Linked DNA regions of Elephas maximus indicus. The protein of the gene in region 1 interacts with the protein of each later gene in a pairwise test. Links are inferred from orthologs where the notes say so. Each region holds a gene or a part of one and is shown on either strand. Other genes may lie near its edges.

What was found. The genes of interacting proteins can lie anywhere in the genome.
Region 2: the proteins of CCND3 (region 1) and ATF5 interact in a two-hybrid assay, tested with the Homo sapiens proteins (2 studies listed by BioGRID and IntAct). The link is inferred for Elephas maximus indicus from reciprocal best matches to the Homo sapiens genes CCND3 and ATF5.

What each region holds. Positions count from the first base shown.
Region 1 is NC_064819.1:106,379,160-106,386,489, reverse strand, and holds the start of CCND3 (G1/S-specific cyclin-D3), read left to right. Parts: upstream 1-4,245; 5' UTR 4,246-7,330. UniProt on the Homo sapiens protein: Regulatory component of the cyclin D3-CDK4 (DC) complex that phosphorylates and inhibits members of the retinoblastoma (RB) protein family including RB1 and regulates the cell-cycle during G(1)/S transition.
Region 2 is NC_064829.1:100,369,440-100,377,267, forward strand, and holds the start of ATF5 (cyclic AMP-dependent transcription factor ATF-5), read left to right. Parts: upstream 1-4,769; 5' UTR 4,770-4,859; exon of another isoform or gene 4,860-4,878; intron 4,879-6,016; 5' UTR 6,017-6,123; coding exon 6,124-6,301; intron 6,302-7,349; coding exon 7,350-7,828.

The sequences.
Region 1 (7,330 bases):
AGGTGCTGTTGTGTTGTGGGGATTGCAACCAGTGTCACGAAACAATATGTGTATAAGTTTTTGAATGAGAAATTAATTTAAGCAGTAAACTTTCACCTAAAGCACAATAAAAAAAATAATAAAGTGCATAATTCAACAGTTTTTAGTATGTTTACAGAGTTGTACAGCTATCACCACCATCTAAGAAACCCACTACCTATTAGCAGTCACTCTCCGTTACCACTTATCCTGCCATTCCCCTTCCAGGCCTGTTGTTGTGTACTGTGGAGTCAATTATGACTCATAGTGACCCTATAGGACAGAGTCGAACTGCCCCATAGGGTTTCCTAGGTTGAAATCTTTATGGAAGCAGACCTCCCTGTGAAGTGGCTGGCAAGTTCAAACAGGAGACCTTTTGGTCAGTAGCCAAGTAATTAAGCATTGCACCACCAGGGCTCCTTCCTAAGGCAACCGCTAATCTACTTTCCCTCCATTCTGTCTGTATAGATTTGCTTATTCTGGACATTTAATATAATCATACAATATGTGGCCTTTTTGCCTGGATTCTTTCACTTAGCATAATGTTTTCAAGGTTAATGCACGTTACAGCATAGGTCCTGTTGCTATTGAGTTGAATCCGACTCATAGTGATCGCATAGGACAGAGTAGAACTGCACCATAGCGGCTGGTGGATTAGAAATGCCAGACTTTTGGTTAGCAGTTGAGCTCTTAACCAAGAATTCGGCTGTTAACCAAAAGGTCGGCAGTTCAAATCCACCAGCTGCTCCTTGGAAATCCTGTGGGGCAGTTCTACTCTGTCATATAGGGTCGCTATGAGTCGATGGCAATGAGGTTTTGGGTAGCAGGTATTAATACTTCATTTATTTGTATGGCAGAATGATATCCCATGGGTATGAGTACACCACAATTTGTTCATCATTCATCTGTTGATGGATGTTTGGATTGTTTCTACTTTTTGGCTATTATAAATAATGCCGCTATGAGCATTTATGTATACATTTTTCTATGAATTTGTTTTCATTTCACTTGGATATATACCTAGGATTGAGATTGCTAGATTATAGGGTAACTGTATTTAACATTAAAAAAAATTTTTTTATCGTGCTTTAAGTGAAGGTTTACAAATCAAGTCAGTCATACAAAAATTTATATACACCTTGCAGTATACACCTAGTTGCTCTCACCCTAATGAGACAACACACTCCTTCTGTCCACTCTCTCTTTTCATGTCCATTTGGCCAGCTTCTGACCCCCTCTGCTCTCTCATCTCTCCTCCAGACAGGAGCTGCCCACATAATCTCGTGTCTACTTGATCCAAGAAGCTCACTCTTCACCAGTATCATTTTCTATCCCATAGTCCAGTCCAATCCCTGTCTGAAGAGTTGGCTTTGGGAATGGTTCCTGTCTTGGGCTAACAGAAGGTCTGGGGACCATGACCTCCAGGGTCCCTTTAGTCTCAGTCAGACCATTAAGTCTGGTCTTTTTACAAGAATTTGAGGTCTGTGCATCCCACTGCTCTCCTGCTCCCTCAGGGGTTCTCTGTTGTGTTCCCTGTCGGGGCAGTCATCGGTTGTAGCCGGGCACCATCTAGTTCTTCTGGTCTCAGGCTAATGTAGTCTCAGGCTTATGTGGCCCTTTCTGTCTCTTGGGCTGTATTAACATTTTGAGTAACTGCCAAACTGTATTCCAAAGTGGCTGCACCATTTTACATTCCCACTAGCAATGTCTGAAGGTTCAAATTTCTCTACATCCTCACCAATACTTGTTATTCCAAACTGGGACACTTTTGAGGGTGAAAGGATATACTGTTAATAATTATACCAGGTCAACAGGTACTAACTGGAACATAGCCTCCCTATAGATACTAGAAAACTAGAAGATTCAATTCCCGATTTCAGAGAAATATCTGGCCACATGATGAGTCAAAACCCAAAAACCCACATACTTGAGGCAAAGAATTAACTATAGGTAAATTATTGAGAAGGAAAGCAAAGCCCATCTTATAACCTCAAGGAGATTGTATTCTCTTTAAAAGAAAAGGATGATCTTATTTAGGTCTTTGTATTGTTCCTGGCCTGAGGTGTATCTTGCATCTGATAGGGTCTCAGTGAAGATCTGTGGAATAACTGATTGAAGGAGAGAATGGATGACCCAGCTCTTCTGGAAGGAATGTAAAAAAAATGGGATGAGTCATCTGTCTGGGCTGCTGAAAATGTATTTTTTTGTCCAGTGTTGTAACAACACTAATGACAATTTGAAAATGAAAAATTAAATAACCTGAAAGTGGAGGAATTGGATCTTAAATTGATTTCACAAGTGTGAATGGCTGACAAAAGATGGTGAAAAACCTTCTAAGTGGGGATTGCCTGAGTAGGCAGGCAGGAACTAAGGCACATATCTTTATGCAGTATACTAAATTGTCCTTGAGCAGGTTAACCAAACCTGGAAATGAAGGATGTGGTACCTACCCCCAGGAGTTTTCAGTCTTTTGGGGAAAACTGGCTTTATTCACGGGAAACAATGAGAATGGTTTAAAACAACCACTAACTGGCCATGTATTTTAGGTTCAGCTACCTCCCTTCTTCCTGATGGGGCAGTGGTTAAGACCTCGGCTGCTAACCAAAAGGTTGGCAGTTCGAATCCACCAGCTGCTTCTTGAAAACCCTATGAGGCAGTTCTGCTTTGCCCTGGAGGGTCACTATGAGTCAGAATTGACTCAAGGGTAACAGCTTTAGTTTGATCTCCCCTCTCTGGGTTTCACTGATCCTCCTGGCTCTAAGTTTCCTGGACCCTTTAATCCTATAATGCTGGAAGTTTCATGGAAGAGGTGGGTCATGAGCTAGGCCTTGAGGGAAGAGGCTGGATTTAGAGAAAGGAGCAGGATGCCAGTGGTGGGTGATAAGACCCTGAGGTAGGCTGGACTGCTGGAACTGAGATAAAATTGAATAGGCTGTCTGGGGCCTCTTGATGGAGAACTTTGAAAGCCAAGCTGGTTGACTTTTAAATTTGACCCGATAAGCAGGTCCTTGGACTGGAGATGAAAGGAGTGTCTGAGAGAGATTAATCTGATGGCTCTGGGCCATTGATCTAGATTGATCTGGAAAAAGGGTGAAGACTGGGCGGCTCTCTGGGAGGCTTTTGCAATAGTAATGTAGGCTGGCCTTTCAAACTAGGGTTTGAAAACCCCTAAAATTCCTTCTGCCAGTGTATACAATAAACATGGTTTGTGGAATTCAGTTTCCCTTTAGCTGTAAGTTATTTAAACCATTATTTTTACATTAAAATAATGGTGGCTATATTATGGATAAGAGCCTGAAACCTGTATAAGTTTCTAAGGCAGAATATTAGACTTCAAATAAATTTCAGGTTTGCAGAGGGTAATTTTAGATTATGCTACCGAATTTCTCAGAGAGATTCATTCCCCCTTCCCTGTTGTAAAGGGTTTACTTTGATGGCAAATTTTGAGACATTTGCTAAGAGCCATATGGAGGAATAGGAAAGATGGGATCTAAGTAAGTTTCAGGGAGTCATTTTTTGGGGCCAGGAAACTGATTAGATACAGGGAACCAGAGAAGGGAGAAATCCAAGATGGCACCAGGGTTTAAAATCTGAGAACTCTAAAGAAAGATGGAACGATTCATAAAAATGTACAAGCCTAGAAAGGGGTGGGATGGGAAGATGATAGCCTTGCTAGTCCCAGGAAAGGACTGGCCAGGTTGGTCAGGGAGGAACCAGCACCTCTTGGTCTTTCCCAGCCTTTGCCAATGTCCTGAAAGTTCTGTTCACTGGCCTGTCATGTTCGGATCTTTGCCTGGTTTACTTTCCATGTATCATCACTAAGATATTTGCCTTAGGATTTTAGTAGATGTCTTATATTAAAGAAGTTCCCTTCTCTCCGTACTTAGTGAAGAGTTTTTCTTATCCACAGATGTTGAGTTTTATCAAATGCTTTTCCTGTATCTGTTGTTGCGATCATGTCACTTTTTCCCCTTTAACCTGAATTATAAGTGGCTCTGGTGGCACAGTGGTTAAGTGCTCAGCTGATAACCAAAAGGTTGGCAGTTCAAATCCATTGACTGCTCTGTGGGAGAAAGATGTGGCAGCCTGCTTCCCTAAGGATTAACTGTCTTGGAAACCCTATGGGGCAGTTCTACTCTGTCCCGTAGGGTTGCTATGAGTTGGAATTGACTCTACAGCAATGGGTATGGGTAGTCTAAATTATATATATATATATATATATATTTTTTTTTTTTTAAATAATGCACTCCAAGACATGTGTTCTTCATTGTCTCCCAGAGTTCCGCAGCAGGATTGAGCTCCAGTTGCCCACATGGTAACTTACTTAATGACGCACTCTCTACTGGCTTTCCTTCCCTTCCTGTCTCATATCTTCACTCCCCTTCCAGTGCTTTCTGGAATTACCTCCCAAGTAAACTACTTCACTGGAGTCCTTGTATCAGGGTCTATGTTGGGGCAGCCCAAACTCAGACAGAGCCATTTACTAACTATGGCTTTTGATGAGATACCTAATCTGTTCATGTCTCTCTTTTCTCATCTGTAATATGAGGGTAAAATAGCACCTATACCTCATAGAGTTTTTGTGAGGCTTAAATAAGTAAATGTGGTAAAGTTCTCAATGTCTGGCTCAGAGAAAGCACTAAGCAAGTGTAACTTATTACTGTTACTACTTGAAATTCTCTGGTGTACTACCATGGGGAGTTGTACCATAGTTGGGGCACACCACTCCAGACCCCACTGTCTAAGCTTTTCGGGATGCTCCCTTTCTGCCTCTTGCTCCCTATGCCCCAGTTACTCTCTGAGTTCCTACAGTCCCACTTCTTCCATCATGGGCTGCCTCCTGGACTTCAGGTGACCAGGACCACCAACTCCCACCACTCCCAGTGTAGCCATCGTTTCCATCCCATAAAAACCAGCTCCCCTAACCCTGGTGGGTGCTGGGAAGTCCCAGGCAAAAAATTTGGTGTCTTTTTTTTTCATTACTTCATTCCTTTTTTTGCCCAGTACTACTCTACACTGGGTTTGGGTTTTTACTCTACTCTATGGATATACCACATTGTGTTTATCCATTTATCAGTTGATGGACACTGGGGTTGTTTCTACTTTGTGACTGTTATGCATAATGCTGTTAATGAATATTCATGTGCAAGTTTTTGGCTGGCTATATGTTTTTATTTCTCTTAGATAATTTCCTAAGAGTTTAATTGCTGGGTCTTATGTTAACTCTAAGTTCCATTGTTTGAGGAACTGCCAGACTGTTTTCCAAAGGGGATGTACCATTTTATATTCCCAGCATCAGTGACATTTGTTATTGTCTGTCTTTTTTATTATAGTTATCCTAGTGGGTGTGAAATGGTATCTCATTGTGGTTTTGATTTACACTTTTTTTTTTAATGACTAATAATGTTGAGCATCTTTTCATGTGAGTAAAACTTAATGTCTTAGTGACAATTACAGGATTTCTCCGTGTTCAGGCTCATCATAGTCATCCACTTTAGACTGGCAGCTCTTAACAGGGAGGCTTTGGGTCTCTGCTCCGAAGCCCAGGGCAAGGACAGCACCTGATACATATGAACTATTAATGGTCACCGCTCCCTTTTCTGAGCATTGTTATGGGCCTAGTGCTATTGTAGGTCCCTGGATGGCACAAACGGTTTGCATGTGACTACTAACGGAAAGGTTGATGGTTGGAACCCATCCATTGGTGCCACAGAAGAAAGGCCTGGCAGTCTGCTTCAGTAAAGATTATAGCCAGGAAAACCCTGTGTAGTTCAGTTCTACTCTGTAACACACGTGGTTGGCATGAGTTGGAATCGACTCGGCGGCAGTGGATTTGGTTTTTGGTTTAGTGCTATTGTGGGTGCTTTTGCCATATTAATCCTCGCAACCACTCTGTGAAGTAGGTGCTGTTACTATCCCTATTTTGCAGATGAGCAGCCTGGGACACAGAGAACTTGAGTCACTGGCTCAAGAACACACAGCTGGCAAATGGGAGAGCTGGGCATCAACCCAACTCCAGAGCTCACTTATTTAGCCACTGTGCTGAAACGATGCCAGGGCTTTTTCATCCCTAGAGTGAGAGATCCTTGCTTCCCAGCTAAGAGCCCAAAGAGGATTTCTCTTTTGCCAGGTGTTTTGCTCAAGAAGGTTACCCATCTACTACACCTGAGGCCCAGATACTTACCTCACCTTTAGCTGTGGACCAGGAGTCTCAGACAGAATAAGAGAACAGGAAAGCCTCACTTATTCAGAATCCAACCAGAAAAAGGGAGAAAAAGTAAACATGTAAATATATAGGTTGTGTGTTCTAATTTTATGAGGAGAGAGTTGGCAGGTTTAGAAGCCAGTACCTGAGGTTTCTTTTCATAAGCGACTTACGAGCTAGAGATTGCAAAATACTCCCCACAGGTCAGATCCAGCCCATGGAACATTGTGTGTGGCTTGTGCAGAGCTTGTTTGTTTTAACTGAAGTAATGGAGATGTTATATTTTAAGAAATATTTTCTCTGGGAAACAAGGGGAATAGAGGGCAACACTTAGGACAGCCACAGGCTGAGCGAGCAGCCCCTCCTGGCTTTGACTGGAGCATCTACTGTCCAGTGTGCCCAGCCCCCCACGTCTCCCACTGACCCCCGTACCGTACCAGAATGGCCATTTATCATGTGACTTGTGCTGAGTTTTTTTTCTTGTTCCAGTCATCCATTGATTCATTCAAAAAAGATTTGTTGAACACCTTCTATGAACCAGGCACCATTCTGGTGATATGGCAGAAGGAAAAAACCCTTACCCTCCAGGAGCTTCTGTTGTGGTGGTGGTGGTGGTGGTGGGAGGGACGAACGATAAACAGAATATGTAAGTAAAGTATATAGTGTGTTAATTATTCATGGTAAGCAGAAAAATAAAAGGACATAGCAAATGCGGGGTTGGGGGAGCAGGAGCATTAAAAATGTAGACAGGGTGGCCAGAAAAGACTATAGGAGGAATGCAACTTTTAAGTTAAAACCTGAAAGAAATGAGGGAGTGGGCCATGTGGATATCTGGGGGAAGAACATTCCAGGCAGATGGTACAGCAGATGACAAAGGGAACATGTATGCCCGGTATGTTCCAGAAACAGCAAGGAGGCCAGTATGGCCAGAGCAGAGTGAGTGAGAGAGGAGTGGGAGATGGGGAGGGGTGCAGATGACAATAGGGTCTTGTGAGCAGTGTGAGGACTTGGATAGTTGTTCTGAGTGAAACAAAGAGCCTGTAGAGGGCTACTCTATTGAGAGAAGACTGGAGGGGGCAAGGATGGATCAGAGAGATCTGTCAGAAG
Region 2 (7,828 bases), on another chromosome or scaffold:
TAAATGTGGGTTGTTTAAGCCACGAGGTTGGTGGCAATTTGTTACCATGGCAAGAGGAAACTCATTCAGAAGGTGACCACAGGGGCTGTCAGAGCTGGTACAGTACAGCGTGGGGCCTAACAGGCTGAGCTGCAACTGCTTCAGCGCTGGGGATCCAGGGACGAGGCAGGAGCAGCAAGGGGAGGGAAGGGGCTGTGAGGACTCTGTGCTCTGACACGTGGCAGGCTCGTGTCCAGGGCTGCCCTTTCCCCAGCCAAGCTGGCCTTGGCCTTTTTGCCTTGTTTGCCCAATGCCCACCTCCAACCCTGCCTCCTGGCCTGTGTGACCCTGACACTGGACCTGGCGCCTCTCAGAGACCACAGTATTGGATTTCCCAGCCTCTGTCCATGAGGAATTCACGTAGAAATGCATGGGTGTGCACATGGGACTGGGGGAACAATTTAGTGCTCGGGGACACACTTATGTCCAAAGACATCTGTCTCCAAGGTTGTGAGGAGAATAGAACCACATGTGGAAGGTACAGGGGAGGGCAATAAACATGTACAGTTTTTGAGCTCCTATTAAGCACCTCCCAGCTTTACCAACATCATTTCCCAGAATCTTCCCAGCGCCCCAGCCTTAGAAATAACGAATGCTCACAGGGCACCTCCCACCTGCTAGGCCCTATTCTAGAAAGTTAACATGCGTTAGCCCATTTAATCCTCACAATGACACTATGAGGTGGGTCCTCTCATCCCCATTTTCCCCATTTTATGGGTTGAGGAAACTGAGTCACAGAGAGACGATGTCACTTGCTGAGGGTCATGGAACCAGAGTGGTGCAGTTGGGATCTGAACCTGGCAGGCTCTGACCTGTACTGTAGAAGCAGCTGAGGCTCAAGCAGATTAAGGACCTTCCCGAATCTGTGGCTAGGAGTAAGCGGTGTGGCCGCAGGATCAGAACCTGCGTCGCCTGATGCAAACCTTGGGGGCCTTTTCCGTCACACCAGCTGTACCCTGACTGGGAAGTGGGTGAGGAGGGCCTCCTCGAGGGCAGCGGGAATGGCTGGACTCGACAGAATTTGCAAACCGTGAATATGAGCAAACCTGAGGTGAGGGTCTGAGTGGTGACCCCCAGCAGGCTCTGCCCTGGAGTGTGGGTTGGGGACCCCCATAGAACTGAGAGACCAGGGTGTGTGAGGCCTGGAAGTGGTGCTGCGGAAGCTGGGGCTCTAGCTAGCAGTGTAATTCTAAGCAAATCTTTTGCTTCTTTGGGCCCGTCCTGCCCCTGCCAGGGCAGCTGGTTGGCTTCAGGGACCTACAGCCACTCCTTGGCATTGAGTCTTGATTCTCAGGGTCCTGCACTGGTGTCCAATTTCCCTCCCTTGCTCCTGTCCACCCCAGCTGTGCTGGAGCCTCTCCCTGATCCAGGGCTCCACTCACCAGGAGCTGTTGCCAGGTGCACCAGGGCCCCCAGAGAATCCCCTCCCCATTAAAGAGCCAGGGATGATGCAACCTGCCTGCAACAGCCGCCTCACTCCCTGAGCCTGGCCCCTCCGCACCGAAAAAGAGTCCCCAGCAACCCTACTGTGCTCCTAGCCCTGAGCTCAGGGCCTGAAGGGGCTGGGGGCCTGGCCCTGAAGGCCTCTTTGAGGCTGGGGGAGGTGGGGATATCTGAGTCCTGGAGGGGCCAGGGGCCCAGGTCTAGGGTGGGCCCAGGAAAAGGTTCAGGGTGCCAGGGGCCCAGTCTAACTACAAGACAAACCCAAACTGAGGGCTCAGGGTATGGAGTTGTAGGCAGCCACAGATGACCCGCAGTGTGTAAACTAAAACATGCCAGAAGGGTTGGGAGCTAAGCGTGTGAATTGGCACCCACTCGGCACTAGGGCTGAATCGGGCGGAATCCAACAACTCTACCAGACAAGGACATAAGGCCCAGAGAGAGAAAACGGCATGGGAGGCTGGGATGTCGGCCACCATGGTCCCTGCCCCAATTCCTTCCCAGTCAGCAGGTGCCCCACAAACTAGTAACAGGATTCCCATTACCAGTTATTTAAAAAATACCCTACCTGGGGGCCCTCTCAAAAACCCATGTTGTTGTGTGCCACAGAATTGATTCTGACTCATAGCAACCCTACAGGACAGAGTAGAACTGTCCCATAGGGTTTCCTAGGCTGTAATCTTTACAGGAGTAGATTGCTGGGTCTTTCCTCCAACAGAATGGCTGGTGGGTTGGAACTGCCAATCTTTTCGTTAGCAGCTGAGCACTCAACCATTGTGCTACCAGGGGTCTTTCAAAAATCCATAGTCCCAGTCTAACCACAAGACAAACCCAAAGTGAAGTGCATTCCAGAAAACAGCCAACCAGCCCTCTTCAAATCTGACCAGATCATCAAAGCCAAGGAATGTCTGAGCAGTGGCTACAGCCCAGAGGCAGCCACGTGTGATGTGGTGCCTTGGAGGGGATCCTGGGACAGAACAAGGCCATGCAGGGACAAGGAATGAAATCAGGTAAGTGTGGCGTTTAGTTTGTTGTAATGTGTCAATGCTGGTTCCAGCACTGTGACAACTGTACCTTCCTCTTGTAAGTTGTTAACAGCGGGGAAAACTGAATGTAGGGTACACAGAAACGCTACACTTTCTCTGTAACTTTTCGGTAAATCTAAACTTTTACTAAAATAGTTTATTTACCTAGTTTCCATATATATAACCCAGAGGGCCTTCTCAGAAGAAGACTGTAGGTGGGGGATAGAGTGAGAAAATAGACCTCAACAGGGAAGGTGCCAAAGGGCTGGGCCAGGGCTCAATCTTGCCAGCAGCAGGTTTTCAGCTGGAGTTGGGGCTTCCCTTTTCTGGTAGTCTGGACAGGGCCTCCCCAGGCTAACAGCCTGCCCGACAGTCAACCCTAATCCCTGCCACCTGCTACTGTTCAAATATCTACACTGAGACATGGAGGGGAGTCCATCCTTAAGCCTCACACCAAAGCTCTAAGGCCATTATGGTCTGAAAGGATCCACTGCTGGCAATGGAAACAGAACATATGCATCTCAGTATTAACAGCAAGAACAGTAATAGTAACAACCCTGAGCAGCAGCCACTATGTGCCAAGCACTACTATAAAGGACAGGCAGAGATTAATTCATTTAATCCTCATTGCCCTAAGAGGCACATGCTATTATTGGCCACGTTCCACCGCAAGGGAAGTCAAGGCATGGGGAAATTAGGGCCACACGGCTAGTCTGGGTTTGAACCCAGACAATCTGGCTCCAGGGTCTGAGCTCTTAAAGTGCTGCCCTATACTGCCTAAGTAATAGCGTAGCCCCTATGAATCCCAGGAACTACAGGGCTAGTGCTCAAATCTGGCTCTAACGGAAGGTGGTCAGATCTCAAGATAGGCTAGCCCAGCTAGCCTCAAAACCCACCTTCCCCGGGTTTTGATTGTTTTGTAGCTGCCCCAAAAGGGATGAGACTGAACTCCATGTGGATGAACGACGAGTGGAAAAGAGAGGGACCTTCTGCAGCACAGCAAAGAGCCATCTCCACCTGGGCCAGCTGGGGGTGATGCGCCCTCTCTTTTAATGAACGGAAGGGTAAAAACCAAAGGAAACCCGATGTCGTCAAGTGGATTCGGACTTATAGTGACCCCGGCTGGAAGACAGTTCCCTGATGCTGAGTGGCAGCTGAGACAAAAAACTGTAAAACCATCGGGAGAAGGGCAGGGGCAGGAGAAAGAACTAGCTGACGAGGGCTGAAGAAGGTGGGCAGGGGCTGTTGAAAAGAGAAAAAGCTGGAGAGGGGGCCATGAGGCCTGAATCCCTCCACCTGGAAGTGGCTGAGCATCTACCACTTGGGAAGGGGAGGGAGGGGATGGCTGGAAATGAACACCAGGGAGGACTGAGACACACAAAAATGACCTCTTAACAGGTGTTGGGTGGTCCAGTGCCTGGGGTTCTGCCAGAAGGGGTGAGACTGGGCACCAGAGTTCCTTTTAATAACAAGGCACCGTTTACCAGGCAAGTATGAGCCCGGTTCTGTGCTTAGGGTTTCGAAGACATCACCTTATTTAACTCTGACAAACAACCCTACCACATGGACACATGAGGCACTGAAAACTTCAGTTATTTGCCCAAGGCCACCCTGGCCGCTCTGTGACTTGAACGAAGGCCATCTGACTCTGACTCAAGCAAGATCTCAAACCTACAAGGCTTTTCAGGCCCGGGCAGCAGCTGAGGGATGAATGGACGGAGAGATTTGGGTGTGGTTGGCAGGAAATTCTTTCATGAAGGGGGGAAGGGAACAGAGAAATGACCACGTGCGAGTCTGAGGGAGGAGAGGCCGGGGTCGGGCTCCAGAGTCAGACAGGAGAGGGCCCGATCCCCAGAAACACGAGCGAGTCTGATCACCAGATCACAGAGAGGAGGAGACTAGACCCCCGGTTCTGAGGGAGGGAGGGGTCTTACCCCCGGGTCAGAAGCAGGAGGGCGCCGGACGCCCGGGTGAGAGGGAGGAGGGGATCCGATCCTCAGATGAGATGGAAGAGGGGGTCCGAACCCCGGGTGAAAGGGAGGAGGGCTCCGGGCCCGCCTCCCGGTTAGGGCCGCACAGGGGCGGAGCGCGGAAGGATCCGGACGGACTGTGCTGCGCCACCTGCGGTATATCTGTCCCCAGTCCCCGGGGCCGCCTCATTCCCCGTCCTCAGATCACGGTTTCCTCACACTAGCGCGACGCCGCCACCGCCCGCGTAGCCCTGGCCATGGCCCTGTAGCCGCGACCCCTCCGTGCCCCCCGGCCCGTCTCCGCGCTCACCGCACCTGCGCTATCCGCTCTTGCCTTCTTTCTTCAGCCGAGGCCTCCGCTGCCTCCCCTTTCTGCCGCCATGGAGTGAGTAACCGCTCGCCCCTCCCTCTCCAACCGCCTTTCCCGCCCTTTCGCTGCGCGCGGCCCTCAAGGCCTGACCGGGGGTTGGGTAGGGAGAAGTGATTGGGGAATCTTGGTTGCGCAGGCGCAGAAGCGGGGGGGCGCCTGTCGGCGCCCATCGGAGCATGCGCACTCGGTCCGAGGTGGGGGGGCAGGGTTCTTCCTGATTGTTTACGCTAAGGGAACGCGTGCGGTTACTGCCGCGCACTAGCTCCCACAGAGTTCCCTCCCCCTCCCCCGGAAACGAGTCTAGCCGTACGCTGTTGGTCATGCGCACCAGCCCACCAGAGCCCGTAATTGTGCGGAAAGGTCGGGGCGTACGCCGCCGCATATGCGCACTGACCCCCAAGAGGGCGGGGAGGGGGGGAATGCATGAGAACACAATTTACACCACCTGGATGACAGATCATGCGCTTTAGCCCTCGGGGAGACGGCGACTTGTGGAAGGGTGGGGGTGGAAGACATTTTCCACAACCTTTCCCCCGCCCTCCTTTCTCCACACTGCGGTGGCGCACAGCGTAGCTTCACTCGCTTTCAGCAGGCATCTGCTGGGGCGGGGCCTAGTTTAGATTGACAGGGAAGAAGGCGGGGCTTAGGGCGAGGAACACAGGTTTCGTGAGGGGCGGGCCAACACGTTGTGGGAAAGGGCGGGGCCAGGCGAGGAGGGGTTTCGTCTGGAGAAAGGCGGGGCCTATAGGGACTCAGGAGGAGTGGAGCTTGGAGGGCACGGGGGCAGGCGGGGAGTGGGGGTTCACTACTAAATTTAAGCGAAGAGTGGAGTCTAAGCACATAGCATTGATGAAGGAACAAAACATGGGGGAATTCCCCTGGGAACTGATTTGAGATGGAATCTAGGGATGGGGCGGAGCCTAAAGGAAACATTTTTGGGGAAGGGGCGTGGCTAGAAGAAAATTCCCCTGGGATTCAGGTTTTTTAATGAAGAAGAGTGTCAAGGGGTGGATGGGAGAGGCCTAAGGAGAATTCCCTTGGGAGTGTGGGGGGCTCAGGGTTTAGAATTCCGAGAGGGGGGAACCTGTTAGCAATGGGGGTATGGCTTCCCGGTGCCTTTGGCTGGTGGCGGTCTGGCTGCTGACTCTGCTCCCTTTGTCTCCAACGTGTAGGTCCTCCGGTTTCGCCTTGGTGCCTGCCTTAGTCCATCTGAGCAACCTCCCAGCTGTTGGTGCTGCCTCCTTCGTTGCCATCCGTGCCCAGCGCCTCTTTTGCAGCCATGTCACTCCTGGCGACCCTGGGGCTGGAGCTGGACAGGACCCTGCTCCCAGCTAGCGGGCTGGGCTGGCTCGTAGACTATGGGAAACTCCCCCTGGCCCCTGCCCCCCTGGGCCCCTATGAGGTCCTTGGGGGAGCCCTGGAGGGCGGGCTTCCAGGGGGGGGAGAGCCCCTGGCAGGTAAGGGCAGGTGGAGAATGGAGGTGGATGAGCTGGGGGGAAGTGGGGGAGAGGGAGAAGGAAGAATTAATTTATTCATTGATTCTGTAAATACAATGCGTCAGGCACTGTTTTAGCTGCTGAGGATAGAGCCAGGAACAAGACTGACATGATTCCTGCCTTCCCAGAACTCACATTCTTGTGGGGAGACAGACAACAGTCAAGTAAAACGAAGATGTATTGGGACTAAGTAGGAAGCACTTAGTGACTGAGCTAGAAAATATCAAAGGGGACCTAGTTTTAGAGTGGGTAGCCAGGATACCTTGTCCAAGAAGGTAACATTAAGCTGTGGCCTGAAGAATGGGAAGGAACGAGCTATCAAAAGGCCCAAGGGAAGAGCATTTCAGGTGAAGGAACAGCATATGCAGAGACCCTGAGACAGGAATTGTTTTAGTCATTACTATATCCCAAATGCTTGACACATTGTAGGTTTTCAGTAATTAATGAATTAAAGTTGAAGCACGGTGTGTGTGTATGTGTGTGTGATGTCATCTAGTTGGTGTTTTAAGGACAAACTAGAGAGTAGATTAGAGGAACCGTAGAAAAAAGTAAAGAGGATGTTGGATTGGTTGAAGAAAAGGTTGGTTGATGGATGGTTGGGTGACTGGTTGGCAGATTGGTTCTTTTGTTGGCTGACTGGTTTTTTGGCTGTTTGACTGGTTGATTGATTAGTTGGCTGACTGACTGATTCATTGGTTGGTTGACTGGTTTGTGGGATGGTTGTCTGGCTGGTCTACAGGTGGTTTGGTTGACTGGTTGACTGCTTCACTGATTGGTTGATGGCTTGGTTTACTGGCTCATTGATTGATTTACTGGTTGGTTGGTTGATTGGTCAAATTGTTGGCTGATTGTTCATTGGTTGCTTGACTGACTTGTTGGCTTGTTGACTGGTTTGATGATTTGTTGATTGGTTGGTTGTTTTACTGAATGAATGGGATGAATGAGTACCCAATTGGATGGAGGACCAGGAACTCAGATGGAACTTTATGTCCCTTCTCCAATTCCCTAGGAGACGGCTTCTCTGACTGGATGACTGAGCGGGTTGACTTCACAGCCCTCCTTCCTCTGGAGCCTCCCTTTCCCCCTGGTGCCCTTCCCCCACCTTCCCCGCCCCCACCTGATCTGGAAGCCATGGCCTCCCTCCTCAAGAAGGAGCTGGAGCAGATGGAAGACTTCTTTCTTGATGCCCCACTCCTCCCACCACCCTCCCCTCCTCCGCCACCCCCACAAGTTCCTCCTCTCCCCCTCCCCACCTTAGACCTCCCCCAGCCCCCTGCCCTGGATACCCTCGACTTGCTGGCCATCTACTGCCGCAGCGAGACTGGGCAGGGGGATGCTGTGGGGTTGGCACCCCTGCCCCCACCACAGCAGCCCCATCCTCCCCCACCTCAGCCCTCTCGCCCAGCCCCGTACCCCAACCCTGCCACCACCCGAGGGGACCGCAAGCAGAAGAAGAGAGACCAAAACAAGTCAGCAGCTCTGAGGTAC